Notamacropus eugenii: one gene and its partners. The protein of the gene in region 1 interacts with the protein of each later gene in a biochemical or structural test. Links are inferred from orthologs where the notes say so. Each region holds a gene or a part of one and is shown in the gene's direction. Other genes may lie near its edges. The genes, in order: UBE2M, NAE1, CAND1 and SMURF1.

What was found.
Region 2: of the proteins of UBE2M (region 1) and NAE1, one has a biochemical effect on the other in vitro, tested with the Homo sapiens proteins (4 studies listed by BioGRID, with this or other methods). The link is inferred for Notamacropus eugenii from reciprocal best matches to the Homo sapiens genes UBE2M and NAE1.
Region 3: the proteins of UBE2M (region 1) and CAND1 form a complex in vitro, tested with the Homo sapiens proteins (2 studies listed by BioGRID). The link is inferred for Notamacropus eugenii from reciprocal best matches to the Homo sapiens genes UBE2M and CAND1.
Region 4: the proteins of UBE2M (region 1) and SMURF1 form a complex in vitro, tested with the Homo sapiens proteins (2 studies listed by BioGRID). The link is inferred for Notamacropus eugenii from reciprocal best matches to the Homo sapiens genes UBE2M and SMURF1.

The regions. Positions count from the first base shown.
Region 1 is NC_092876.1:990,849-998,105, reverse strand, and holds UBE2M (NEDD8-conjugating enzyme Ubc12), read left to right. Parts: upstream 1-4,526; 5' UTR 4,527-4,794; coding exon 4,795-4,903; intron 4,904-5,202; coding exon 5,203-5,297; intron 5,298-5,464; coding exon 5,465-5,503; intron 5,504-5,581; coding exon 5,582-5,685; intron 5,686-6,072; coding exon 6,073-6,136; intron 6,137-6,243; coding exon 6,244-6,384; 3' UTR 6,385-6,740; downstream 6,741-7,257. Other genes in the region: uncharacterized protein, read right to left, coding at 1,632-1,824, 1,920-3,129, 3,675-3,843.
Region 2 is NC_092872.1:693,761,760-693,768,587, reverse strand, and holds the start of NAE1 (NEDD8-activating enzyme E1 regulatory subunit), read left to right. Parts: upstream 1-3,827; 5' UTR 3,828-3,948; coding exon 3,949-4,007; intron 4,008-6,828. UniProt on the Homo sapiens protein: Regulatory subunit of the dimeric UBA3-NAE1 E1 enzyme. E1 activates NEDD8 by first adenylating its C-terminal glycine residue with ATP, thereafter linking this residue to the side chain of the catalytic cysteine, yielding a NEDD8-UBA3 thioester and free AMP.
Region 3 is NC_092874.1:244,372,155-244,379,201, forward strand, and holds the start of CAND1 (cullin-associated NEDD8-dissociated protein 1), read left to right. Parts: upstream 1-4,036; 5' UTR 4,037-4,430; coding exon 4,431-4,498; intron 4,499-5,163; exon of another isoform or gene 5,164-5,239; intron 5,240-7,047. UniProt on the Homo sapiens protein: Key assembly factor of SCF (SKP1-CUL1-F-box protein) E3 ubiquitin ligase complexes that promotes the exchange of the substrate-recognition F-box subunit in SCF complexes, thereby playing a key role in the cellular repertoire of SCF complexes.
Region 4 is NC_092874.1:380,144,692-380,152,102, forward strand, and holds the start of SMURF1 (E3 ubiquitin-protein ligase SMURF1), read left to right. Parts: upstream 1-4,391; 5' UTR 4,392-4,580; coding exon 4,581-4,635; intron 4,636-7,411. UniProt on the Homo sapiens protein: E3 ubiquitin-protein ligase that acts as a negative regulator of BMP signaling pathway. Mediates ubiquitination and degradation of SMAD1 and SMAD5, 2 receptor-regulated SMADs specific for the BMP pathway.

The DNA.
Region 1 (7,257 bases):
CTCCAACCCAATGTGCCAGGCACCACCATCTATGGCTCAAGGCTCGGAGCTGTTACAAGCAGCCCTCATCTTTCTCTCATGTTTGCCTCACCACACTGATGGTGGGACACCCAGAGGGCTCTGCCTTAGAAATAGGGAGAATGAAGCAGAGAGCTGGGGGTCTTCTGCATGTCTCTGTGGGGGCCGCTGGCCTAAGTCTGGGGGTGACATCTTAAGGCTCCAGCCTTCTTTCTGGGCCTGGGTCTCCCTCTCCCACCCAGGCTGATGGGCACAGGAAGAGATTTAGCAGGGATGTTGTATCAGCTTTGTTCCCTCCTGCAACTCAGAGATGCCAGTTGCGACCCATCACACCAGGCTGCGAAGTTTTTCATTGTGTGTCTACCTTTTGAGGGGAGCAGTCCAACCTGGTGACTTCTCAAGTGTCTAAATCCTATCAACTCACTTGCTGTGCAGCCCTGCTCTGGAATGCCTGTTTCCTTATCTGTAAAATGAGGGCCTTGTCCTTTGGGACAACAGTGCACATTTACATGGTGCTGCTAAGGAAGGCTACTAAGCACTTACACGTGCTGTATCTCATTTGAGAGGAAGGTGATGTTATTAACTCCACTTTATAGACAAATAAACTGAGGTTGAGACAAGTGACTTGCTCATGGTAACACAGCTATACACATCTCCAGCACGCAGCATCCCATCCAATGGTCTATGAATCCAATGCGTCTTCCAGGTGAGAGTCCATTGTTGGAGGGTTAATACCGCCCCCACCCCCCAGGCAGGGACCTCTCCTCAGGTGGGAGGGGACTGTGGGCCAAGGTTGGCACCAACTGTCCTCACTGCACCTGCCCCAGCAGGCGCTGCCTGGGGCCTGCAGGAAGCCCAGTGCTACTGGAAGTTGGGCAGGAGACCCGAGGAGTCTGGGGTAAGCCCATTCCTAGCTCAGGGCTTCCTCAGTTTATTCCTGTGTCACCTGAACAGCCTGAACCAGGTAACCTCCACAGGTCTCTCAGTGCATTCCCCAATCCTCTTGTCTGTGTCTGCTGACCACCCTGACTACAGATGCACATTTCCCCCCATCTCCCCTGGGGTGTCCTGTAGCAGCCCAGAGCCCAGGGATGGAGAGGAGGCCCTGCCCAATCTCACCCCCACAGCCCAGTAGATAGGCCTCTCCATCCCTCAGGGCAGGAAAGATGCTTCAAAGGGCTGGCTGAATTCGATTCGATTCTATCAGTGAGAGGCCCTCCAGATACTCTCATGGCTCCCCTCTGCTGAGACCCTATGAGACGCTGAGGCCTAAAACCGTGAGCTCACTCTTTGGCCCCCCCTCTGCCTGCTGTCCCATCTCCTCCGACAGATCGCCCCTCCCCTTTGTCTCCAGTCTCTCCCTGGCCAGGGCTGTCCCTCCAGTCTAGCTGGCCCTCGGCTGCCACAGTGACCTCACCTCACTGGGAGCAGAGGCTCGTGTTTCCCTCCCGTGGCCCAAATACCCTCCATCCCCGCTTCAGACCAGGGGCCTCACCATCGGGTGGTGTCTTGCCAGCCTTGGCATCCCCCAGAAGTGAGTCCTCATTTTCCACACCCCCACTTTACTGATACTTCAGGGGAGCCAAAGCTCTCTCCCCTGGGTGGACTTGCTCTCAGGGAGACTGCAGGTGTTGGGGACGGGGGGCAGGAGAGCACAGCTGGAGATGCTTCTGGACGGGCAGAGCCCCTGCGGAGCTCACATGGGAAGCACCACTGGAACACGGCCAGAAGAGACAGCCAAAGCCGGAGGTGGAGCCCAGCTGGTGGCTGCCGCCACGAGGCCAGGGCCAAACCTGGACAGCAGGCCTAGGCACATGAGAGCAGGGGGTCGCTGCGGTTCTCCTCCCGTTCTCCCCCAAAACCCTGGGGTGCTGAAGAGGTGGGGATCCCCAGGGCCTCACCCCAAGAGATGCTGTCCTTCCTGTTGTGGCTGCAGGATGACCGTATCCAAGTCCCGTCCTTGACCATCATGCCCCCCTGAAAAGGCCTGGGGCTCTGCAAGGTCCGTGCTCACCGCAGACAGGGGCACAGACTGGATCACTCTGGAACTGTGGCCATCCTGTGACTCAGGGGAACCCAGGCCAGGATAAAGGGAGCAGGGGGTTGGGGTGGGACTGAAGCCAGAAGTAGGGGAGTTGGGAGGGATTTCTGGGGAGGAGAGTCTGGGCAGGATAGTGAACCCCAGCTCTCTTTCTCTGAAATCCTGGGCCCGGGGGGAGAACAGGAGCTCTGGAGAGGCCAGGACCATGTTCACTGGGAAGGCCAGTCCCCTGTGTCTGGAGGGGCTGAGCCTCAGAGAATGGAGCAAGCCCCGGCAGGACAGACTAGGGTCAATGGTCGAAGGGGCCCCCAGCAGTGGAGGAGCCTGGGCTTTCCCGCAGTGGGAGGAGGCAGAGCATGCCTTCAGAGGCGGGGAACTGGGCTGCAGGGAACCTGAAGGTCTGGGACTGGAGGTGTGGGGGGCTTTCTTGACTGGGTGGTATCTGGGTCTCAGGGAAGATGAGGCTCTGCCTTTGGAGGGGCTGGGACTGAAGGGGATGGGCTTCCCCTTCAGAGGCTGGACTTTTAGGCAGATAGAAGAGGACACCGTCCTGCAAGGAGAGGGGCTGGCCCTGGAGAGGGGGGGTCTCCCTTTCAGGGGATGAGATCTGGTCTGGGGGGAGCGGGAGGGACTCGGAGTACAGGGAGGAGGTGCCCCCATCGGGGAGCAGCTCTGGGGCCGGGGACAGCCGAGCACCCGGCATTGAGAGGGCATGGGGCTCTTCAGGAGAGGGGCTTGGGGTGCAGTGGAGACAGCGCCGAGGCGCCCCTGCGGAGGGGGGCCAGGGCCCTTCTGGAGATGGATGAGCCGGGGTCCCTGGGAGGCTGGAGGCAGAAGCAGCACCCTGCACTGCAGGGCGCTGGGGGCAAGGGGAAAAGGAGCCCCCGAAATGAGCAAGGGAGGGGGCCCTTTGCAGAGGGAGAGGCTGGGTCTGCAGCGGGAAGAGCCGAGGATGGGGGGCACGGCCTGGCACAGGAGCCGTAACGGCTTGGGGTAGCGCAGCTGCCCCCGCGGGTGGGGGTGCGCCATTGGCGCGTCCTTCAAGGCTCCCTCGGGCCGGCCACTGGCACCTAGGGGAGAGGGCGGACAGAGGGTGGGGGCCCTCCTCCAGGCCAGGCGCCCCTTCAGTGCTGACCCTCCAGCTCAAATGACACGTGAGGAAACTGAGGCAGACTGGTGACCCAGCTAGCAAGTGTCTGAGGCTGGATCTGAACTCAGGCTCAGGTGCGCCCCTCACGGTCGCGTGGCAGTCAATGAGCACTTATTAGGCACCTACAGTGTGCCAACCTGAGTGCACTGGGGTACGCAGGCAAAAAAGGACAGGGGTTTTGTCCGCCCCCTCCCCCACCGAAGCTGGCCAATGAGGTCTCAGTTCTCCTGGGTGAGACAGCCCCCCCCCCAAACGAGAAGAGACGCTCGAGAACTACTGAGGGGGTCGGCCGAAAGCAGCTCTTCCCCTCTCTCCAGTACAAACCCTGCAGGGCCCCATCCCCTCCCCATCACGTGCCCCCAGCCCCCGCTGGACTACGCTCCCCAGCAGGCGGCGCGCAGACTCCTTGCCCTTTCCCACAATGCTCAGCGATTCGGTTCTTAGGCGCAGGAGAAGCGGAGTTACCATGGGGATGAGGGCCCGCCTCCGCCTGCTCCCGGCTCGCGTCCTTCTCGCCTTCAGTCTCGGCCCCGGGACCAACCGCTTCTGAGGCGATGCGGTCTCCCTGGTGACGCCGGGACTCCCGCGCTCCCGCGGCGCCTCGCTGCCCCTCCTCCCGGCCTGCGGTTGTCATGGAGACCGAAAGCCCGGAAGCTGCAGCTCAGATTCGGTCATCCCCGCCTACTCCGCATTTCCGGGATATTCGTATAAGGCTAGCGCCACAGCCCCGCCCCCGGGCCTAGAGCCCGACGACTATTGGCACGCCCTCCGAGCCTTCTCCAATGGGCGGGCACGTAGGCGGGGCTGGCCTAAACTGACAGCTGCCAGCGCTGTCGCGGTCGATGTGTGCACTAAGAGCTCCCTGGAGACTAGTAACTCTCTTTCCTCCTCCCGTGGCCCCCCCCACCTCCGCCCTCCAAGAGCCTTCCTTCGCACCCCTCCCCCAGCCAGCTCGGTCGGCAGCCCGCAGGTCAATCTCCTCCGGAAGCGCCAGAAGCCCCCGCCCGGAAATGGCCGAGCGCGGCCCCGGACTGCGCGCCGCGTCTGCGCATGCGCGCCGCGGGGCCGACAGCGGCCAGAGCCGAAGCGGGGGAGGCGGCGGCGGAAATCACCGAAGCGTCGGGGCGCCCCGAGACCGTTGTCGAGGCCCTTCGCGACCGCCCAGGCTGAGGGCCTGGCCCAGGCCGAAGCCGGTTCGTAGCCTGTAAGCGAGAGAGAAAGAGGGACACAGAGAGACAGAGAAAGGGCAGCCGGGAACCCGATCTGGGACAGAGGAGGAGGAGAGGAGGGGGCGGGACCGAGAGCGGCCGCCGGGCGGGGGGCGGGGCGAAGCCGAAGCCCACTTCCGAAGGCACCCGAGCGGAGCCGAGCCCTTCCGGAGGGAGTCGAACACTTCCGAAGCGGACCGAGCGAGCTACGGGAGCCGAGACGGGCCGCGCAGCGCGGCGCTGAGCTGAGCAGCCGGGGCCGGAACGCGGAGGAGCCGGGCAGGGGCCGGAGGCGGGGGCTGGGGCGGGCAGGCGGCGGACAGTGGGCAGGGGCGGCCGGCCGGCCAGGGCCCCGAGGAGGCGGCGGCGGCGGCAGGATGATCAAGCTGTTCTCGCTGAAGCAGCAGAAGAAGGAGGAGGAGTCGGCGGGCGGCACCAAGGGCAGCAGCAAGAAGGCCTCCGCCGCGCAGCTCCGCATCCAGAAAGGTGCCCCGGGCGGAGGGGGGAGAGGGGGGAGAGGGCCGCCCCGCCCCCACCCCCACCTGCGACCAAGGGCTGCCCCCACCCCCCACCTGGGACCCAAGGCTGCCCCCACCCCCACCTGGTATCATCAACTGCCCCCACCCCCCACCTGGGACCAGGGGCTGCCCCCCCCCCCCCCCCCAACCGGGGCCATCTGCGGCCTCGTCCCCACCCCACCCCGGACCCGATCCTACCTGGACCAGCCCCTGACCTCAGGGTGTAGATGATGGTCCCCAGATAACTTGCCCTCCACTCTCCTCCAGACATTAATGAGCTCAACTTGCCTAAGACCTGCGAGATCGACTTTTCTGATCAGGACGACCTCCTCAACTTCAAGCTGGTCATCTGCCCGGATGAGGTGAGGGCCCCCTCCCCCCGCGTCGGTCATGTTGCCGCCATGGGCCTCTCCCGACTTCTGTCCTTCTCCAAGCCGTTCCCAGGGGCCTGGGGACTGTGTGCCGGGAGGTACCTGGAGCAGGCAGCCCCAATCAGCCTCCCCTCCTTTCCTTTCCCTTCTTTTTCCAGGGCTTCTACAAGGCTGGCAAGTTTGTGTTTAGTTTTAAGGTAAGTCTTTTGAAGGGGAGGGGCAGAAACTGCCCTGGGGGAGGGGCCGAGGGCCTCTGACTGCCTCTCTGTCCCCAGGTTGGCCAGGGTTACCCCCACGATCCACCCAAGGTGAAGTGTGAGACCATGGTTTATCACCCCAACATCGACCTTGAGGGCAATGTCTGCCTTAACATCCTCAGGTAAGTGGCCACCCCAACTTCCCCGGTGAGAACAAGGTCATTTCTGGCCTGCTGGCCCTTGAGGGGAACTTGTGAGGGTACAGTGGCCAAGACAGAGGACCAGAGGGTTACGGTCAGCCTGGTGCTGCTGGGGGTCAGCACTTTGGCAGTAGCCTTGAGGAGGAGATGGCCGGACAGGGCTCAGCAGAGAGCCATTGTGGAGAAGTGACCAAGCTGGAGACCAGGGAAGGGCACACAGATGTGGCTTGAACCTTCTTTTCCGATTTAGGACCCTGGGGGGAGGGTGGGCAGGATGGGATGAGGAGCACTGCCCGTGGGCCAGGAGGAGGTGGGGCTGCCCTGCTGAGGCCGAGCCCTTTGGGCTGGGGGGCGCTTCTCCTTCCACAGAGAGGACTGGAAACCAGTGCTAACGATAAACTCCATCATCTACGGGCTGCAGTATCTCTTCCTGGTGAGTGCGTGGGGGGGGCCGAGGGGAATGAGTGCGGGGGTGGAGGCCGTGGGGCGATGGGTGGGGGGGGTAGGGGGCCCCGGGCCTGACCGGATCCCGGCCCGCAGGAGCCCAACCCCGAGGATCCCCTGAACAAGGAGGCGGCCGAGGTCCTCCAGAACAACCGGCGCCTTTTCGAGCAGAACGTGCAGCGCTCCATGCGCGGCGGCTACATCGGCTCCACGTACTTTGAGCGCTGCCTCAAATAGGCGGGGGGCGGGCGGACGGACGGACAGCCCCGCCCCCCGAGCCGGCCCTCCCCCTCCTCCGGGCCCCCTCCCCCGGTCGGGGCGGGGGGCGGGGCGTCCGCGGCCCCCGGGCCACGTATTTATTGGGGGCCGGGGCCTCGCGCGGGAGTGGGGATGGGGAGGGGGCCTCCGGCCGCGCGCCGCCCCCAGTTCTTTTTTGGGTTTAGTTTTTTTAACCACGTGATTGATGGGCGCCGCCCTACCCCGCCCCCGTCGTCCGGATCAGAGAAGGGAAATGAATTGGATTGTCCCCGGACCCCGCCCCCACTCCCACTCGAGTTCGTGTCAGGTTATTAAAGGGGAATGTTGATGCAGTGCCTTTGCCTCCTGGCCTTCTGTCCGTGCGTGCGTCCCGTCTGTCCGTGCGGGGTTGGACCCGAACCTGCGGCCCCGGGGAAGGGGGGGCGGGGCTGGAGCGCCGGCCTGCACGCCGGCGCGCTCTGCGGGCCGTCCGACCCCGCGCGCCTGCGCACTACGGCTCTCGGCCCCGGGCGGGGCGCGTGCCAGTGACGTCACGGCGCCGGTATCCGGAAGCAGCGGCGGGTTGTGGGAGAAAGCAGGCGGCGAGCAGACCCCGGGCAGCGGCGGCGGCGGCGCGGGTGGGTGGCCCCGGAGTCCAGCGCGACCCGGGGGGCTTCCCGGAGGCGGCGGTTGTGCCTCCAGCTCGGGGCCGGTGAGTGAAGGCGCGCCCCCCCGCCCCCAGAGGACGCCGGCGTCCGGGCCTCAGCCCCCCTCCGACAGCCTCCTCGGGGGACCCCGCCTTCTGGTTCCCCCGATCTCGGAACGCAGCGCCCCCTCTAGGCCCCTCCTCCGGGACCCCGGCGTTCTGGGGAG
Region 2 (6,828 bases), on another chromosome or scaffold:
TGATTTAGAGCATTTTTTCATAAAACTATTGATAGCTTTGATTTCTTCTGAAAAACCACGTGTTCATATCCTTTGACCATTTATCAATTGGTAAATGATTCTTATTTTTATAAATTTGGCTCAGTTCCCTATGTATTTGAGAAATGAGGCCTTTATCAGAGAAATTTGCTGCAAATAATCAGTAAACATTTATTAAGTAACTACTATGTGCCAGGTACTGTGCTAAGTCCTGAGGATGCAAAAAGAGGCAAAGGAGTCCTTACCCTCAGGGACCTGCTGACCATCTAATGGGAGAGATAACAAACAAACATGTACAAACAGCCTACCTATAGGAAAGAATTAAGAGGGAAAGCACTGGAATGAAGAGGGAGTGGGGACGGTTTCTTGTAGAAGTGAGCTTTAGTTGGAACTTAAAGGAAGCCACTGAGGTCAGTAGTAGCAGTAGAAGAGAGAAAGCATTCACAGTATGGGGGACAGTTCTAGAGTTACTTTACTTAGTTTCATTTCTTGTCAAGCTTTAAGTAAACTTGATGTTACCTCCATGGCTTTTTGCTGTTTTATGTGTGATACTGCTCAAAATTTCTCATCACTTTCCTTCCTAAGCCTTTATATCCAAGTCAATATAATTTAGTACAATGACTGGCACATAGTAGGTGCTTAACAAATGTTTATTGAGTGATTACTTTCACTAATGTTGCTTTTCATTGTCACTTTCCCCCACCCCTTTGCAAGGAGATTGGGCATTTGCTGGAGAAGCCCCCCTTCCACTGTGTTTTCCCCTACCCTCAGCTTTAGCTGCTGGTGATTATAGCTCCAGTTTCATTAAACAATTACCATCAATTAGCTGTTATGATGGACTATTGACTCTGAAGATATAGCAAAAAAAAGCATCCCCTCAAAACTTTGGAATGCAATCTCCTCTATACCTCCTCAATCTTTAGGGAGAGAGAGTAGAATTAGCAGTTTCTACATAGCACTGTTCTCCCCAAATTCACATACAACAGAACAATGTTATATACTAAATGCTAAAGATACAAAAAAAAAGCAAAACCAGACCATACCTTCAAAAAGTCCACAGTCTAATGGGGAAGACAACATTCAAACAACTATGTTGTTTGTTGTTGTTTTTGAGGAGGATCAGTGACATCACTGATGACATCTTGACTTGCAAGTCAGTTAGATTTAAGTGAGGCAGAGTTGCACAAAGTTATTCAGTCTCACTCTCTCTTCCAGGTCCAGTGGCAGGACAAAAGACAAGAGGACCGTCAATGGCCAGGGATGTACCTCGGCATCTTCAGTGACCAAACTCTAAGCTCTCCACAGCACCTGCTTCAGCTGCCTTCTTGGTGGTTGGAACAAATTGTTCTCTTCCATCCATTCCAATGGGGAAGTCTTCTCATGCTTGTGGTAGATATTCCCCTAACTCACTGACAGGTTTAAGACCTATTGGTTACCCTCAACCTGCTTTAACCCCTCTGCTGAGATGGTTTACTGGGATGTGGCCATTGGGATGTGGCATGGCTATAGCTTCTTGGAGTCACAGGTGACAGTTGGATGCCAGGTGGATGAGCAGGCCTGATACCAGAGGTGCTAGTCCTCCCTGCACACCCCATACATCAACAAAGGGAGGGCACTACCATTCAGGAGGATGGGGATGGGGATGGGCTGTAGAAGATGGGATTTACATGAGACTTGAAGGAGGCCAGAGAAGCCAGGAGGTGGAGTAGAGCAGGGAGAAAGTTCTAGGGATGGGAGTACAAGGGGTGTAGAGCCATTGAAAAGGTACAGATTCAGGAGATGAAGCATCTTGTGTGAAGAACAGCAAAAAAACCAGAGTTACCGAATTACAGAGTGTGTGGAAAGGAGTAAAACATAAGACTGGAGAAGTAAAAAGGGATCAGGTTGGGAAGGGTTTAAAAGTCAAACTGAGAGTTTTCTATTTGGTGCTGTAGACAATAGAGAACCATTGATGTTCACTGAATGACGGGGATGAGGAGGAGGTGGGACATCATCATGCTTATACTTTAGGGGAGATCAATTTGGGGGCTAAATGAAGGATGGACTGGAATGCTCAGTCTGGAATCAGGAAGACCTGAGTTCAAATCTAACCTCAGATATTTACTAGCTGTGTGATCTTGGCCAAATCACTTAGCTTCCTTTTCCTCAACTATAAAACAGGAATAATAACAGCACTTAACCTCAGGAAGGTTGTTGTGAGGATCAAATGAGATAATTGTATTACACTTAAAACAGTACCTGATAAATACCAAGTGCTTAATAAATATTTATTCCCTTCGCCTTGTTCTTTCTCTTTGGTTGCCTCTGCTGATGGTGTTACAATAAGAGGGGCAATACTGTATACGGGGAATAGCAATGGGTCTTTCTGATTTGAAGCCAATATGTAGCCAGTGAATATAGGTCTTGGTTCTTTGCTTTGGTATTTGTCCTTTTATTTTAAGGGAAGGAAAGTGTTAGCTACTTCTCTGTAAACTTTAAAAGTTTAAGAGGACAAGCCACCAGCAGATTGGAATTCGCATCCAGCTGTCTAGATTTGAGGTCCCAAGGAGCAAAGACGTACCTACAGGACCCAGCCAAGGGATAGTAGAGAGGGCAAGGTCTGTTTTTGCTTTCTTTGTATCCTTAGCACTTAGCACGGTGCCTGGCACATAGTAGGTGTTTAATAAATGCTTGTTGCAAGTTGTTATATGACTGTGATGGAATATTATTGTGCTATAAGAAATGATGAGCAGGCAGATTTCAGAAAAACCTGGAAAGACTTCTATGAACTGATGCTGAGTGAAGTGAGCAGACCCAGGAGAACCGCCACATGATGCAGACTTAGCTCATCTCGGCAATACAATGGCCCAAGATAATTCCAAAAGACTCCTGGTGAAAAATGCTCATCACATCCACAGAAAGAACTATGGAATCTGAATGCAGACTGAAGGATACTATTTTCACATGTTTTTTGTTTTTTCAATCTTGTATTTTTCCCCTTTTGTTCTGATTCTTCTTTCACAACATGACTAATGTGGGAATGTCTTTAACATGACTGTACACGTATAACCTATATCAGATTTCTTGCTGTCTTGCGGAGGTGAGGAGAAAAATTCAGAACTCAACATTTTACAAAAATGCATGTTGAAAACTATCTTTACTTGTCATTGGAAAAAAATTAAATACTCTTAAGGAATCCAGGCTTGATGCCGGCTTGCCACTTGTGTAAACGAGTAAATGTCCTTCCCTAGGCAGGTTACTTCTCTTCCGCGGCCCCAATTTCTCCTCCGTCCAGTGAGGGGTCGGATGAGCTCTCAAGTCTCTTCCTCCAGGTTTCGATGCTTTGCTCTTGGGAGTTTTCTGGGCCTCGCTTTTTTCCTCTATAAAATGAGGGGTGGGATGACGCGGTCCTCGAGGCCTCTGCAGCTCTGACCCAGGAGGTCCAATTCGCCTTCAGGAGCAGGAGGTGACGCCAGGTGAAGATGCTCCGGGCTTGGGGCGGGAACCACACCTGCCTTCTCTGCGCATCACTGTTACAACTTATCTGGAACAAGACTTCGCCCGGGCCAGGCGCACTGGTTCAGGCTGCTAGGGCTGTCCTGACTAGGAACACCCGAGAGTTTGGGAGGAGAAATGAAATTGAAGCCACCGGTCTGCTAGGAGGATCAGAGACCCGCCTACCCATCGGAAATCCTCGCGCGTGCGCGGCCCTTTAGCGTTCCCTGCTGGCGGCTTCAGGAAGCTGCAGGGTGAAAAGGAAGCGTGAAAAGTGCGGCTGCGCGGGGACGCAAGGGCACACTGGACGGCTGCGCGAAGGCTGGGGAAAACTTGGCCCGGGCGTAGTGCGCCTGCGCGGCGGGGGCGGGGCAGCCTGGTGGACCCGGGCTGTGGTGCCTGACCCTCTTTCGGGGCGGGAGTGCGGCGGACGTGAGGCCGGGGCCCAGCGGAACCATGGCGCAGCCAGAGGCGGGAAAGCTGCCTAAGGAGCAGAAGTACGACCGGCAGCTGAGGTGAGACGGGGGTGAGGAGGCAGCAGCGACCTCCGCCGAGTCCTGACCCGGGCCGGGCAGCCCAGGAGAACGCCGGGCTCGGGGCGGCCCGAGGGAGCAGCCTGGCGAGAGGGAGCCGGCGCCAAGGCCTATCCCCCGCCCGCGTCGGGCTCAGCTGTCCTCGAGGCTCCCGAGCCCCTGGGAGGAGCCAGGCTGGGCCCGCCCCCTCAGGGTCCTGGATTGGAAAGAGAGGCCCTGGTCTGGAAGCCTTGAGTGTCAGAGCAAGGGGAGGCCCGGGAGCCTTGAGAGCCAGAGCAGGGGGAGGCCCGGGAGCCTTGAGTGTCAGAGCAGGGAGAGGCCCGGGAGCCTTGAGAGCCAGAGCAGGGGGAGGCCCGGGAGCCTTGAGTGTCAGAGCAGGGAGAGGCCCGGGAGCCTTGAGTGTCAGAGCAGGGGGAGGCCCGGGAGCCTTGAGTGTCAGAGCAGGGGGAGAGGCCCGGGAGCCTTGAGTGTCAGAGCAGGGGGAGAGGCCCGGGAGCCTTGAGTGTCAGAGCAGGGGGAGGCCCGGGAGCCTTGAGTGTCAGAGCCTTGAGAGCCAGAGCAGGGGGAGGCCCGGGAGCCTTGAGAGCCAGAGCAGGGGGAGGCCCGGGAGCCTTGAGTGTCAGAGCAGGGGGAGAGGCCCGGGAGCCTTGAGTGTCAGAGCAGGGGGAGGCCCGGGAGCCTTGAGAGCCAGAGCAGGGGGAGGCCCGGGAGCCTTGAGTGCCAGAGCAGGGGGAGAGGCCCGGGAGCCTTGAGTGTCAGAGCAGGGGGAGGCCCGGGAGCCTTGAGTGTCAGAGCCTTGAGAGCCAGAGCAGGGGGAGGCCCGGGAGCCTTGAGTGTCAGAGCAGGGGGAGGCCCGGGAGCCTTGAGTGTCAGAGCCTTGAGAGCCAGAGCAGGGGGAGGCCCGGGAGCCTTGAGTGCCAGAGCAGGGGGAGAGGCCCGGGAGCCTTGAGTGTCAGAGCCTTGAGAGCCAGAGCAGGGGGAGAGGCCCGGGAGCCTTGAGTGTCAGAGCAGGGGGAGGCCCTGGAGCTTTGAGTGTCAGAGCCTTGAGAGCCAGAGCAGGGGGAGGCCCGGGAGCCTTGAGTGTCAGAGCAGGGGGAGAGGCCCAGGAGCCTTGAGTGTCAGAGCAGGGGGAGGCCCGGGAGCCTTGAGTGTCAGAGCAGGGGGAGAGGCCCGGGAGCCTTGAGAGCCAGAGCAGGGGGAGAGGCCCGGGAGCCTTGAGTGTCAGAGCAGGGGGAGAGGCCCGGGAGCCTTGAGTGTCAGAGCAGGGGGAGGCCCGGGAGCCTTGAGTGTCAGAGCAGGGGGAGAGGCCCAGGAGCCTTGAGTGTCAGAGCAGGGGGAGGCCCGGGAGCCTTGAGTGTCAGAGCAGGGGGAGAGGCCCGGGAGCCTTGAGAGCCAGAGCAGGGGGAGAGGCCCGGGAGCCTTGAGTGTCAGAGCAGGGGGAGAGGCCCGGGAGCCTTGAGTGTCAGAGCAGGGGGAGGCCCGGGAGCCTTGAGAGCCAGAGCAGGGGGAGAGGCCCGGGAGCCTTGAGTATCAGAGCAGGGGGAGAGGCCCGGGAGCCTTGAGTGTCAGAGCAGGGGGAGAGGCCCGGGAGCCTTGAGTGTCAGAGCAGGGGGAGGCCCTGGAGCTTTGAGTGTCAGAGCCTTGAGAGCCAGAGCAGGGGGAGGCCCGGGAGCCTTGAGTGTCAGAGCAGGGGGAGAGGCCCAGGAGCCTTGAGTGTCAGAGCAGGGGGAGGCCCGGGAGCCTTGAGTGTCAGAGCAGGGGGAGAGGCCCGGGAGCCTTGAGAGCCAGAGCAGGGGGAGAGGCCCGGGAGCCTTGAGTATCAGAGCAGGGGGAGAGGCCCGGGAGCCTTGAGTGTCAGAGCAGGGGGAGAGGCCCGGGAGCCTTGAGAGCCAGAGCAGGGGGAGAGGCCCAGGAGCCTTGAGTGTCAGAGCAGGGGGAGGCCCGGGAGCCTTGAGTGTCAGAGCAGGGGGAGAGGCCCGGGAGCCTTGAGAGCCAGAGCAGGGGGAGGCCCGGGAGCCGTGAGTGCCAGAGCAGGGGGAGAGGCCCCGGAGCCTTGAGTGTCAGAGCAGGGGGAGAGGCCCGGGAGTCTTGAGTGTCAGAGCAGGGGAAGAGGCCCGGGAGCCTTGAGTGTCAGAGCAGGGGGAGGCCCGGGAGCCTTGAGAGCCAGAGCAGGGGGAGAGGCCCGGGAGCCTTGAGTATCAGAGCAGGGGGAGAGGCCCGGGAGCCTTGAGAGCCAGAGCAGGGGGAGAGGCCCGGGAGCCTTGAGTGTCAGAGCAGGGGGAGGCCCGGGAGCCTTGAGTGTCAGAGCAGGGGGAGAGGCCCGGGAGCCTTGAGTGTCAGAGCAGGGGGAGGCCCGGGAGCCTTGAGAGCCAGAGCAGGGGGAGGCCCGGGAACCTTGAGAGCCAGAGCAGGGGGAGGCCCGGGAGCCTTGAGTGTCAGAGCAGGGGGAGGCCCGGGAGCCTTGAGTGTCAGAGCAGGGGGAGGCCCGGGAGCCTTGAGTGTCAGAGCAGGGGGAGGCCCGGGAGCCTTGAGTGTCAGAGCAGGGAGAAAGACCTGGGAGCCTTGAGAGCCAGAGCCTTGAGTGTCAGAGCAGGGGGAGGCCCGGGAGCCTTGAGAGTCAGAGCAGGGAGAGAGGCCTGGGAGCCTTGAGAGCCAGAGCCTTGAGTGTCAGAGCAGGGGGAGGCCCGGGAGCCTTGAGAGTCAGAGCAGGGAGAGAGGCCTGGGAGCCTTGAGAGTCAGAGCAGGGAGAGAGGCCTGGGAGCCTTGAGAGCCAGAGCAGGGGGAGAGGCCCAGGAGCCTTGAA
Region 3 (7,047 bases), on another chromosome or scaffold:
CCCCTACCAAACTGAAAGTCTACACTGCCATTGTGCTGAGCTCATTGTTGTATGCCTGTGAAACTTGGACAGTCTATCAACGCCATGCCTGAAAATGGAATTGCTTCCATTTGAACTGTCTTAGGAAGACTCTGAAGATTGGCAAGATTGGACACTGAGGCCCAAGCATTCAAATTCTACTTCACGGAGCAATTCTGATGGGCTAGCCATGTTGTTCAGATGCCAAATGTCCTGTTTGCCTAAACGACTATTTTACAGAGAACTCACAGAAGGCAAGCGCTAACGTGGAGGTCAGAAGAAGCCATACAAGGACAGTCTCAAAATCTTTCTGAAGAACTTTGGAATCAATTTTGGGACAAAGGAGACACTGGCACAGACTGTCCAGCATGGTGTGCCAGAATCAAAGAAGATGCTATGCTCTGTGCCCAAAGCAGAATTGCAGTAGCTCAAAAGAAACGTGGTGAGATGCAAAACTTTAAAGATATCTCCACTTCCAATGTTCATATGAACTATTTGTGCCTGACCTCTAGTAGAGCCTTTTGAACTTGTATTGGTCTGATCAACCATAGCTGGGCACACTGTATCTTCACTTGAACATAGTGAAGTTATTTTGGTCCTCTGTGAAGTATGAAGAAAAATAATCAATGATTATTAGATCACATTATGACGTGGAGGTGACCCTGATGTTTTGAAGGCTACGTCAATGGAGAGCAAACTGTGGCAAGCTGGAAAGCCTTCACTTACTGGCCTGGTGACAGATTTCATTTCTGTTGCCTAACAATCAGTTTCCCTAAATTTGAAGAGGTTCAATACCAGATACTTCATAGGAAGATTAGTTTTTTGTCCAAGGGGACTCTTAAAAGCTATATAAGCTTGTGAACTTTGCCAGTAATGGGATGATCTACACTATTAAAACCACAAATGCTTGAAATCTTAAAGTTAGTACTGTAAATTGAGTTTGACTAGATGAATTATCCAGTCTTTTCAAACTCTAAAGTGATATGACTCCACTGTTGTATATTCTGTCTGTTCCCAAGAACATTTTAGCCTCCTGGGAAGATTAATTCATAGATTGATAACAACACAAAGATACTGTCAATTACATGTGCTATGGCAAATAATACTGAAGCAGTTCAGCGGAGAGTGCACTGTGACCTTGAGTGGTCTAGTTGATGGAATATCTCAGAGGAGAAGGCATTGAGCTAAACCTGTAAGGAAGGGTAGGATTTAGGTAACTGAAAAGGAAAGAGAACTTGGTATGGTGGATAGGATTCTGTACTTGGAGGCAGGAAGTTTTGTGTTCAAATTCTGCCTCCTGTACTTATTAGCTGTGTGATCACAGACAAGTCTCTTATCCTCTTAGTCTGTTTCCTCATTTGTCAAAGGAGAGGCTTGAATGGTCTTTAAGGTCCTTTCTGACTTTAAACTTGTGAAACTAGTAGGTTTCACAAAAAAAATTACATAAAAAGGCCCAGAGGAGAAAATACTGTTTTGTCATGTTAGCCAATCTGATAGGTGTGATGTGATGTTTTAATTTGCATTTCTCTAATCAATAGTCATTTAGAGCATTTTTTCATATGACTATAAATGGCTTTAATTTCATCTGAAAACTGTCTGTTCATATCTTTTGACCATTTATTAATTGGGGAATGACTTGTACTCTTATAAATTTGACTTAGTTCTCTATCTATTTTAGAAATGAGGCCTTTATCAGAGACACAGGCTATAAAAACTGTTTCCCAGCTTTGTGCTTCCCTTCTAATTTTGATTGCATTGACTTTTTGCAAAAACTTTTCAATTTAATGTAATCAAAATTATCTGTTTTGTACTTCATAATGTTCTCTATCTCTTGTTTGGTCATAAATTCTTCCATTCTCCATAGATCTGAGAAGGCAAACTATTCCTTGCTCTCCTAATTTGCTTGTAGTCTCACCCAAATATTTTATGTTGTCTACAGTTACTTGAAATGGAATTTCTCTTTCTATCTCTTGCTGATGGCTTTGTTAATGATATATAGAAATGCTGATAATTTATGTGGGTTTATTTTATCTGGCAACTTTGCTAAAGTTAATTATTTCAAGTGGTTTTGATACTTTAGGATTCTCTAAGTATACCATCATATCACCTGCAGAGTGATAGCTTTGTTTCTTCATTGCCAATTCTAATTCAGAGGAGAAAACACTTAAGGCAAATTCATAGGCTTAGTCTAGCTGAGACAGTGAACTTAAGTAACAGCAAAAAGATGAAAAAAGAACTCCTTAGCCTGGCATTTAAGGCTCCACATCTTGTAGTTCCAGGCTAAATATAGTTTTAATCCTTAAACGACAGTTCTGAATAGGTATAATATAATAAAACTTTTCAGAAGATTAATCTGGCAGTAGGCTACAGGATGGGTTGGAAAAGGGAGAGACTGAAAGTGAAGAGTTCAGTTTGTAGGCTGTGGTCTGAATGTGAAGTAAATAGGGGCTGAACGAGAGTGATGGTAGAGAAGGAAAATACAAAAATGAGTGTATATCCTTTACCATCACTCCCTTGAGAACAGGAATTTCAAGAATTCTAGAATTTAGAGCTGGAAGGGACCTAAAGATTATCTGGTCCAGCTTTCATGGGATGGAAACCGAGGTCCAGGGAAAGTAAACGACTTTTCCAAGATCATACAGGCAGAACTTTTTTAAACCTAAGCCCTCTGACTTAGAATATAGCCCTTTTCCCACAGTTATCACTCAAAAGCCATCTTCCCTTCCCCAGCACCAAGCATAATACCTCTCGCATACATCTTCAAAAATGTTTACTAAACTGAAATCTAAATTCACCTGTATTAGTCATTAACTTGCAGCAAAATTTCCAAGAGAAATGATCCTCCAAAAGTTGCAAAATAGATTAGAGATCTTAAATGGATAGAAATCTAGCATTTAGTAAATTACTGGTTTATTTTATGAAAAGAAGGGGCCGGAGAAACGAAAGAGCGCTAAAAATGCAGACGTTTCATTGAGCTCGTTTTCCCGGGGCAATCTTTTCTATCCCAGCTTCCTAATACTTTGGCACAAGTAGGGTTATTAAGCCTTTAGTTTAAAAGGGGGGGAGGGGGAGAGAGGCTTGTTTGGGGAGCAGGGAATTAACAAAAGAAAGTGGCATGTTCCCTGTTTACAAAGGACGTGCCTACGTGCCCATCAAACAGAGGGCAGGAAGAAGTTTGTTCCCCCGTGGCAGCACACATCACCCTGGGGAGAGATGTAAGCTCCTTGAGGGCAGGAACCACTGGTCTTTGTAAGCTGACACATGATAAGGCGCTTCGGAGGTGCAAGTTGGTTTGGGTCGGATAATGCAGGTGCAGTCCTTTCTAAGACAGAAAAAGCACGGCCGCCCTGCTGGGCACGTGTACAGGGGCCTGGGGAGACCCTGGCAGAATCAATTTTCGTGCACGGCCAAAAGCGATTCGTCAGAACTTCGCCAGTTTCAGGACCCAGAGATCCCCGCGCCTGCGGCCCGCTTTGGCCAACCCACCAATCCTGGGATTCGTTCCTCTCTCCGAGAAGGAAAGGGAGATTGGAGGAGGGAAAAATAGAAGCTGACAGCGGCAGCAGCCAATCAGGTCGTGTCTGTGGATGACGTCTAAAGGGCATGACGGGATTCGTAGTCTTTGCGCGGCTGCACTTTAAGATGCCGCAGGCCACGCGTCCCACGCGAAAGCCCACTCTTTCCTTGGGCTGGATTCCTTCATTAACACAGCCCGGGGCCTTTATCTTTTTCTTCGCGTTTAAAATCCCGCACTGCTACTCCCCATTACGCGCATGACGCTCCAACCCATCCTTTACCGTTTCCTAGCTCATCCCTGTCTAACCTGCAGCCCCGCGCCCTTTAACCGTCGCTTGGAAGTCTCGAGAGAACACCTCTCTCTCCGTCCCAGTCACGCCTTACGCACGGCCGTCCCCGCGCAGACTGACACGCCCCTGGGCCAATTGGATAGCCACCCATCCGGGCCGCGGCGGGGGCGCGCTCGTCGCAGCGTCCGTAACCCTTGACCCCGGGTTTCCGTACTCTTTTGGTACTTAAGTACGCAGCGGGAGCCGCGGTCGCCGTCGCCCCCCGAGTGCAGGAGGCGGGATTTGGCCGCTTGCCTCTGGGAGGAAGGGAGCGAGCGAGAGGCCCGAGCAGGACCGTCTGGCTCCCGGGAGAGGCCCTCGCCGGACTTCCCGCCCCCCCCACCCCCTCCCCGTCGCCCATGAGACCGGCCCCTCGCGAGCAGCGCTGTCGTTAGGCGGGCCGCGCCGCTTTCTCTGCTGCTCCCGGGCCAGGCCCGCGCTCCGCGGGAGGGGGCAGCCCTTGCAGGCGCCTCCCTCGTCACCGCCGCCGCAGCGCCGGGAGCGGGCCGGGCCGCGAGCCCCGGAGCTAGAGGAGGAGGAGGAGCCGCCCGGACCGTAGCCGTCAACATGGCGAGCGCCTCGTACCACATCTCCAATCTGCTGGAGAAGATGACATCCAGCGACAAGGACTTCAGGTGAGGCCGCGAGATCCGCGCGGGGCCCCACCCCTGCAGCGCCGCCGCCGCCCTCCCCGCTCCGGGCCTGGCCTTGCCCCTTCCCCGCCGCGAGGCCCCCGCCGGGGCGCGCCCCGAAGCCGCGATCGATAGCCGGGCCGGGGCGAGGGGGGTGGGGCGGGGGAAGGTCGGGCCGGTGCCGGAGGCCCTGGGCCGCCCCGGGCCCCCCTCGGGAAGGGAGCAAGGAACGAGGCCGGGCGCGGGGAACGGTTGGATTCCTTGGAGGGTTGGGGGCGCTGGAAACTTGCCCGGGAGGAAGCATGTTGGGGGGTGGGGGAGTTTCCCGCCTGCGTCCTTGCCCCCTCCTCTGGGTAGATTAGATATTTTTATGGGGGGGGTTGGGGGCTTTCGATCCACGCTTTCTCCGTGTCTCGGCCCGGCGCCCCTCCTGAGTCTGAGCCCCGGGGGGCCGGGGGAGGGGGGCTCGGAGAGCTGGAAGCCGCAGGAAGCCTTGGAGCTCGATCCCATTTCCCCGGGGCCTGTTTGCATGTGATCTCCTCCCCGGCCCCACGAGAGCGCAGGGATCGCGCTTTAAATTTTAAAAGAGAAAGCTTTGCTGCTTGTATCCCTACCTCCAGGTCTGCGCTAACACTCCCGTTCAAGGAAAGGCCGCAGACTGCCTCGTCTACACCTTAGAACGCTGCTGGCAGGCTTGACACCTGGCTGGACTTTGTGGCAGTCTTATGCCTGGTAGTAGATCGGGTACGAAATTCAGTCTGGGCGCATGTAGTCCTGGAGGGCGCTCCATGTGCCACAGGGAAAAACGTATTTTTAAAATCTCTTTGGGACTTAAGTTTTATGGTACGAAGCCTGTGGGGATGAAACTTGTGTGTCTAAACAGTCCGCCTTTACTTAATGTGATGAGTGAAGAAACTCGTGTCCTTTGTGCGTTATTTCTTCTCCCGCCACCCCCTTTAAAGTGTACCAGTCCTGCCGGACGCAGAAGCAGCGTTTTTATTTCGTGAAACAAGGAGGTCTTGAGAAAAAAAAATTCCTAATTCTAATTTAATTAAGCTGTTATAGTTATGATCTTTAGTAACCCAGTAGATTGAAACTTTAGTTCTGGGACTTTTTGACCAGATGGATTGTAAGTAATTTTGCGCTGCCAGGAACTTTCTGCCGTATAGGCAAGATTCAACATTTGGCTAATCTTGAGGACCATTCACTCATGGATTGATTATGATTTTCTGAAAACCTTATTTACTTGGTCATAATTCTAAGTACAAAAAAATTGTTATTCTTTTAAAACCAGAAAATTACTCATATTCTTTGAACTTTTTCTTGGTTTCCAACTTGTCACTGAAGTTTAATCGTTTTAATTTGGAAACTTTTCGATATTGAGCAAGTGCATGGTGCGATTTTTAAATTTACTATCTATCTCAGCTTGCTCATTAAAATACTCACTTCTGGTGGTATTGAGTTTCAGATTTTAATACTTGTGGTGATGGTGGGGAGATCTACCTCTAATCTTGAAGCATATGGTAAAACACTGGAACAATTTTAAGTATATTTTATAGGTATCATTCTAAATGAAACATAAAACAAGTAATTTGCAGATTTTTTTTACATATTTTCTTTCTCTTTAAAAAGAAATCATTAAGCAGTGAAGACTGTCATAGAGGAAAGTAAACATTTGTTGTTGTATTCCTTAGCTTCTTACCACCTACTAGATGCTTAGTAACCATTTTATTGAAGTTCCAGGATCTTGAAGTCAATTGGGAAAAACCTATTTTGGGGGAATACTTTAATAAGTAATATCTGCTTGCTGTCTGAAATTTCCCAGAACATTGTTTGAGGGATTAGTTATTTAAAATAAGATTACTGAGCATGACTGGCATATGGAAAAGACTGGATGAATTTCCAAATATGCCTGAATCCCCAAATATTCTGATAATTTGGCTTAATTTAAGATTTTTTTTCTTCTGTTTGATATATTTTCATCTGATTTTCTAGTTATCTAAAATATTTTAAATGGAATATGTAATGTCTCTATTTTTATTATTAATGAGAGTATGGGACTGAAGAGAACAGCCCATCCAATCTCACTCCCTCAATTTACCAATAATGAAACTGAGGCCCCAGGGAGGTTAAGTGATTTGCCCAGGGTCACACAGGGATAAACAGCAGCAGAATTTGAACCCAGGTTCAGAACTCTGAGTCAGGTTCTGACTCTAGAGTCCATGCTCTTTCCATCATTCCATGAAATGAGTTTATTGAATTTGATGTTCCTTTTCAGCTTAAAAATTCTGTGAATTTTCATTCTAAATTCAAGTTAGACTGTAGACATCAAGAGTGTATTGGTGCCAGCTCTAACTGGTATAATCTGATTCTTAAATTTTCCTTGTGAGCATTTATACCTCAGAAATTGGCAAGCTAAAAATAAATATCAAGGCTTTAGTTTATTGGAGTTTATTCTGTTTGTTTTTTGATTGTCTAGACTTTTAAAAGTGATGGAGAAAATGTTAGCAGTGTAGATTAATTAGACTTAAAAATGTGGTCTGTAGTTTTAG
Region 4 (7,411 bases), on another chromosome or scaffold:
GTATCCAGAGCTACCAGAGACCTACAAAATAAAATCCTCAACACCAAAGTCCTTGGCATTGTCAACATCAGAAATGGATAGGATCACCAGTAGAAATGGCATGAAAGAATATATATTATCATCTGCTTCACATAAGGACCATAGGACCCTTCCATCTGAGTTGTAGTTGAAACCTCCAATAGGTATTTCTCATACATTAGAAGGTGAACTCGAGTAGGGACTGCCTTGCTTTTCTATTTGAATCCATAGCCCTCATCACAGTGCTTTGCACATATTAAGTGCTTAATTAATGTATCTTCATTCATTTATTTATTCATACAGTTTATGATTAAAGCCACAGAGAATAAATTCATCAAAGGAGAGAAATGGACCCTAGAACAGAGCCATGAGGAACAGGGGACATGAAATGAACGATGGATCAGGAAGGGAGAGAGCTATGGTTAGAAGAATAATGAAAGAGTAGTGTTAGGAAAGACCAGAGAAAAGTACAGGAAGAGATGTGAGTTCATTGTCAGAGGTGACTTGACACAAGGCAGAGGGTTATAGTCCAGAGGTTTTGGCTTCAAGGTAGCAGTCCATCAAGCCCTCAAAAGTGGTAAAGATGGTATGGAGTATGCTATGTTGTACATCCAGCTCTTCCTATTACTATTTCCATATTTTTCATGGGAATTCATATGAAAACCTGCTATGGTGGAAGGGAATATTAGAAATGGGAACAAATGAATAGGATGGTCACAACTATTTCTTCTTGGTGAAAATGTTTCTAAGGCAGAAGATATATTTTAACCTATAAACACATTATATTTACCCTTTCCAAAATTTGACCTCTCTCAGTATTTCCTGGGATTTCAGAATGAAATTCCAGACATTTGATTCCTTTGTGGTTCAATAGTTAAGAATAATCAGTGAGACTGAGCACTTGTTCTACTACTTATTAGCTACGTAATGATGAATAAGTAATCTAACCTCTAAGGATACCACTGTCTTTACTGTAAAATGAGGAAGAAGTTTGATTTAGATCCATTTAGGTCCCATAAGTCTGAGTGGCATTGTGGCTTAATGAATAGTGTGTTAGACTTAGAATCCCGAAGACTTGGGTTTGACTCCTATTTCTGTTATTCAGCTTTGCGAACCTAAGCCACTTAACCTGAGTCTGTTTCCTCATCTGTAAAGTGGGGATAATTCCTGTAGTATCTTTTTTTTTTTTTAAATTAATTTATTTTTAGTTTTCAACATTCACTTCCGTAAGTTTAAAATTTTCTCCCCTTCCCTCCTCAAGATAGTATGTAATGTGATATGGCTCCTGTAGCATCTATCTTACAAGATTGCTGTGAGGCTCAAATGAGATAATCTACTACACTTTGCAAAACTTACAGCACTATAAAAATGACATTTTAAAAAAATGGCCATTACTATGAACTCCAGAGTACCTGGAACAAGATGAGAATCTTTAAGAAGTCCCTTTCACAAATAGTTGACATAGTTTCATCAAGAACAGGTCATGCCAGAATAACCTCATTTCCTTTTTTGATAGGGTTACTAGACTGGTAGATCAGGGGAATGTTGTAGATACAGCATTCTTAGATATTAGCTTCACTTTTTATAGTAGCAAAGAAATGGAAACAAAGCAGATGCTCATGCATTTAGGAAAAGCTAACTAAACTGTGGTACATGAATGTAACCGAATATTACTTTGCTGTAAAAAGCAATAAACACGAGAGAAGCATGGGAAGACATGAACTGATGAAAAACTGGAGCAGAACCAGGGAAACATATGACTACAATAATTCAAAATGGAGAGAACAAAAGCAGCAGAACTGAATGCCCAAAGGGATATAAGAATATACCTCCTGTTATTCTTTGCATAGGTAGGGGACTATGCCTATGGAACATTATATAGTGTCAGATTTTTTCCAAGATGTTGGTTAGTTTTGTTGAATTAATTGCCATCCCTCTCATATTATTCTTATTATAAGGGATGGCTCTCTGGGAAAAGGAGAAGGGAGCCATGTATTGAGAAATGTTGGTGATAAAGTTATCAATTGAAATTTATTTGAAAACTTGAAAAAAAACATGAAGAATACATGGAGAAAACAAACTGATGAAGAGTAAAGGAAGCAGACAAGAATATACGATGATTATAACTTAAAGGGAAAGAATAAAAATAATTGAAACAAAAAGCTGTGACACTACAATGCCGAAACTTGGCCTCAGTGAATGAATGAAAAAGTATTTATTTATTACTTGCTGTACACCAAGCACTGGGTGTACAAAGAGAAAAATCAGTAAGGTCTCTGCTCTCTGGGAGCTCACACTCTACTTGGGGGATATTACACATAAAAGAAAGTTCATTCCTAAGGGTGCATCAGGCAGTGGAATGGCAAAGCTCAGAGGTCCTTAGGCTACATCTGTAGGTCAGAGGACAGCACTAGAGGTCTTGGAAGCATACCCAGTGATCCTCCATCTCACCATAAGAAATAGGATTGGTGACTTTCACCAAGGCTGCGTGAGCAGCCAAGTGGCTGGGATGGGATCTGGACGATCTGAGTCAGAGTACGGAAGCAAAGAGAAATCAAGCGGCAAAGCAGAGAAAGTACCAGGCTACTCCCTCCCCCCCCTTTGAAAACAGAAGTGGAAACCATGAGTGTGGACACCTGTACACCTTGAACCTGGTATGTCGGTTAGTTTTGTTGAAATGCTTTTTTTCTTAAAAAAAAATTCTTTGTTATAAAGTATAACTCTCCAGGAGGAGGGTGGAGAGTTATAGCAGGAATGCAGATAATATAAAAATATCAATAAAAATGTTTTCAAGTACATGACCATTCAACAAATAGGATTCTATTAAGAATTTTACCCCTGATATGAGTGCAGTGATTGGCTTTGTTTTCTCTATGTGTCTTGTTTCCAAAGGAAGTTTAAACTTTGGGAAATTCCCTGTCCCTCCAGAATGGCCTGTCAGGGCTGGGCCTGTTATTCAGCATAAAACGTTGACTATTCTAAGAGTCCACAGAATATTTGCTGAATGCATAATTCTTCATCATCGCCTGAATCCCAGAGCTGAACACACAGTAGGGGCGCCACAGTGATTTATTTACCTGCCTATGGCTGGTTTCGTTTATTGTTAAAGCATCCTAGATATGGCAACTTCCCGTCTATCTGGGGTTCTCCAATGCCAAAGAAAGATCCTTCTCGTTACCTGAGTACAAGCTAACGCACAATAGCTTAGCTGGGCACCGGGGAGAGGAAAGATTGGGATGAAATACAAAACACAGCCCGTGGCCTCCAGGAGGGTGCGGTCCGGTAGGGGTGCAAGACTCCGGAGTAAAGAGCCCTACTAACTTCCCATCAGATCAATGGGACTGGAGACGGCCTTCAGGAAGCCACGTGAGCAGCTAGGTGGCTGGAAGGGGGTCTGGACGGTCTGGGACAGAGAAGGAGCAGGGGCGGGGGAGAAAGCAGCCCGCCCCCCTATGGTGAGGAGCGGACGCCGAAGGGCAGCTTGAACAGAGGGGGCCCGCGGGGGGGGGGGGGGGTGTTTATCCAGCGCTCTGAGGCCTGCACACCATTCTCACCACACAGGCACGCAGGCTCTCCTCGGAGGAGCCCCGCGGCGGGTGGGGCTGAATTCAAGACTGACTCGTTCAGGGTCGCACAACTACTGCATTTGAACTCGGGACTTCGAGGCTCCACGCCCACCTACGGAAGCGAGTGCCGTGGGCCGGTCCCCGCAGCTTCCCCTTGGCACTCTCCCCGACCCCGCTACCAGCCCGCGGCCCCCGGCCCCCGGCGGGGCCTCTCCCCACGTTCTCGGGTGCAGTCGCTAAGGCTCGGCACGTGCGACCATAAACATGGAGGAAGCCCCTCTCCCGCTGGCAGGGTGCGAGGAGACCCGCAACATGGCGCCGAACAGGACGCCTCCCCGCCTCCACCTCGGGGAGCGACGTCAGCGGCGTCCTTTGCGTCTCCGCCTCACGTTCGGCGCAAGCACGCTCGCACGCACGGGCTGGGCGGGGGTTTAAAAAAAAAAGGCCGCGGGAGCGCGCCGGGGGGAGGGAGAGGAAGGTCGCCGGCGGGGGCGCGCGCGTCGCGAGGAGGAAGGAGAGGAGGGGAGGCGCGGCGGCGGCGGCGGCGGCGGCGGCGGCGGGAGCGCGCGCGGCTCCGGGAGGCGGCGGCGGCGGCGGCGGCGGCGGCGGCGGCGGCGGCGGCGGCGGCGGCGGCGGCGGCGGCGGCGGCGGCGAGGGCGGTGCTCGCTCGCTCGGCGGCTGGTCTCGAGCTCCGAGGAGGCGGAGGCGGAGGAGGAGGCGGTGGCTCTCGACCTGGGGTTGGTTGGGAGGGCGGGTGGGGGGTGGTGGGAAATCTGCTCCGCTCCGGGCTTGATCGCGGGGCCCGCCCCCTTTCCCCCCACCCACCCTGCCCCGCTGCTTGGAGTTGGTGGCCGGGAGGCTCGGACCCGGGGCTCGGCGGCCCAGCCTCAGCCTTGAGGAGGAAGAGGAAGGCAGGGGCCGGGGCCGAGGCGGGGGGCGGACTCGGACGGGCTGTGGCGGATTCTTCCCCCCCACCTCCCCGGTCGCGGGCAGGAGATGTCGAACCCCGGGACTCGGAGAAACGGCTCCAGCATCAAGATCCGGCTGACAGGTACGGGCGCGCGGGGGAGCGGGGGAGCCGGGGTTGGGGGGGCCCGGAGGGGAGGGGGCCCCCGGAGGGGCGGGGGGGGGCGGCCCCGCCGGACCCGCACCCCCGGGCCTCGGCGGGTCGTGCGCTGCGTGGGGTCCCCGGCATCCCCGGGCGGCCCGCGCCGTGGCTCCCCTCCCCTCCCCCGCCTCGGTGCTGGCAGCTGCACAAGTCCTGGCTCCTCGATTCACTCGCGTTTCTTCAATGAAATTTCCCTGTTTCCCCCGTCAGCTCCGTAGTGATCCCCATAGGGGTGAATGGGGAAGCCCTGGGGTGCGCATGCGCTGTTGCGGGGAGGGGGCGGGGTGGTGCCGGCGTCGGGGTGGAGGGGGGCGGTGTGTGGTGCGGACGGTGTCTGCCGCTGGCGGCCGTGTCTCCCCGGCGGGCTCCAGACATCCTGCGTCCAGTGTCCGGCCCCGGCATCCCTCCTCCCCCACCCCCGCGCTCCCCTCTCGGCACGCCGCAGGCCTGGGGTTCTTAACGCGGGATCGTTACTCCGCAAACAGATTTCTGCCGGGGGACTTTCCAAGCCAGAAGTTCTGTCCGATCCTGGCAGGAGTTTCCCCCTCTTGGTCTTTCTTCTGGTCTGTGGCACACGAAAGAAAAGCCCTCCAGTCTGTATTTGTCCAGTTCCTGTCAAAGGAGTGTGATTTAACCCCCCCCCCCCCCCCAAAAGAGGGAGGATCGAGACGAACGCCTAGCGTGGTTAGGGCATTTAAAAGTATTTGTAAAAAACATCTGTAGGTGATTTTTTTTAAAACCATATGTTCTCTTTGAAAACCCACTGTTGCCTGTTGTAGGATCTGTTTCCTGTTTAAATAAAAGGACTTGTGAGTTCTGTTTACAAAGCTGACAGAATAATGAATTATTAATGATTCAGGCCCAGACTGGGGTTTTGTAAGGCAACAGGTGTATCCTCCTGGATCTTTGTTCTTGGAGGAGCCATTATGCTGCACTCAGGCTAGGAGGTAAAGCACTTCTTCATATTTTTAAGTTGAGTTGTTTTTATGGGTGCGTAAAATGTCATGTTTTTGACGTTATAATACTTGTAAAGTTTAATTACAAGACAACTTTAATTTGCTTCCCAGTTACAACGCAATCTATTATAGCCATCAGATCAGTTACTCTTTTACTGTTAAGTGCATGTGTGTGTTTTGTTAGAAATGTAGTTGGGTTAGAGTTTTTGTTTCTGAAATAAACGTTTTACTTTTTTGCATTTGTTGAGCGTTTTTATGAATTGTGGCTGATGATCTTTGATTTGTACTTCTCTTTCCCACCCCCAAAGTATAAGAGAGAACAGGATTTGTCTTTCTGTTCACCCCACCCTTTCACCCCCATATACTGGTCTGTTCAGGAGTTTAAATGTGATAGCTGCAGAAATACTTTTAAGAGCTTATGGATGGCATTTGATATTAAAGGATTAAATGATCAGTATTCTTTCCAAAGTGCTTTCCCCCTCCTCACTCCCTGCCTAAATTGCTGAATACCTAATGGATTTGAGTCAATCTATGAATGTAATTGTTCTTGAAACGGGAATTGAGAGCTTAGTAAGAGTTGTGTAACAGACATGATGGCAGTTGTCTGTTGAACATTAACCCGTGTGAAAAAGTTGCAACTAAAGAGTGTGAAAATAAAATTGGTTTTAGTCTATTCTTAAAGTTAAGAAGTTTGAAATTTTTTCACTTCTGATTTATTGTGCATCTTGATACATTAAATGTTTTTGATAAAGAAGATTGCTTAGTTACTGCAGTGACATTTGAAAATATAGATTTTAGAGAGGTTTTTGTTAGTAAATAACATGCAGCATAATTAAATACAGACTATGAAGACATTAGTGTTTGAAAAGATATTTAGGACTTTTGACTGCAGAATTTTATGGTAAATGGAAAGTGTTTTGAACCAGAAGTGAAGGAGATGTTAATTCTAGCCCCAGGCCTAGACCACCTTTGTGACTTCTTTGGGCTTCATTTTCTTCTTCTGCACAATAAGGACATTGGACTAGACTGGTGGTGCTTAACTTTTTCTGATTTACCCTTTAGGAGTCTGTTGAAAACTATGAGATCCCTTTTCAGAAGAATGTTTTTTAAAACTGCATAGTATTACAAAGGAAGCAATTATATTGAAATAGTCATCAGTATTTTTTAAAGACGTTTATGAAGCATACATTAGGAATACCTAAATTAGACTGATATTCAAGGTAGTTTTCTGGCCCTAATAGTCACATTGTTACCTATTCTAAATTACTAGTGTATATGCGTTTTTGGTTATTAAATTCCATGCTCTCTAGCTAAGCTTTAAGAGAGAAAACTACACGATAACTTTTGGGACATGCAGAAAACTTTGACTTAAAGTAAGATATCTCAAATTTGACTTATGATAAACATAATTAAGTCTAGTGACAATTTCTAACCATTTTTGCCATGATAGTGAAATTTCTCAGTCTTGTATTTTTGAAATTGATTGTATAAATCCATTGTATGATGAATTTGCCTTCAAGGCATAATTTATAAATGTGTCCTGAATATTAGTGGATATCTTAATCCTTCATTTTTAGATAAAGATTGAAATAAATGCTGCCATAATTATGTTAGTTTGAAATAGTTTATAGAGGTTTCAGTAGTTCATTGAATATATTTGATACAAAATACTTGAATAATTGTGTGTTTCAAAGCATTTTGCAAATACCTTTCCCAGTTAAATTATCTCCTTGTAGTCAGGGATTGTTTTTGACTTTTTTGTA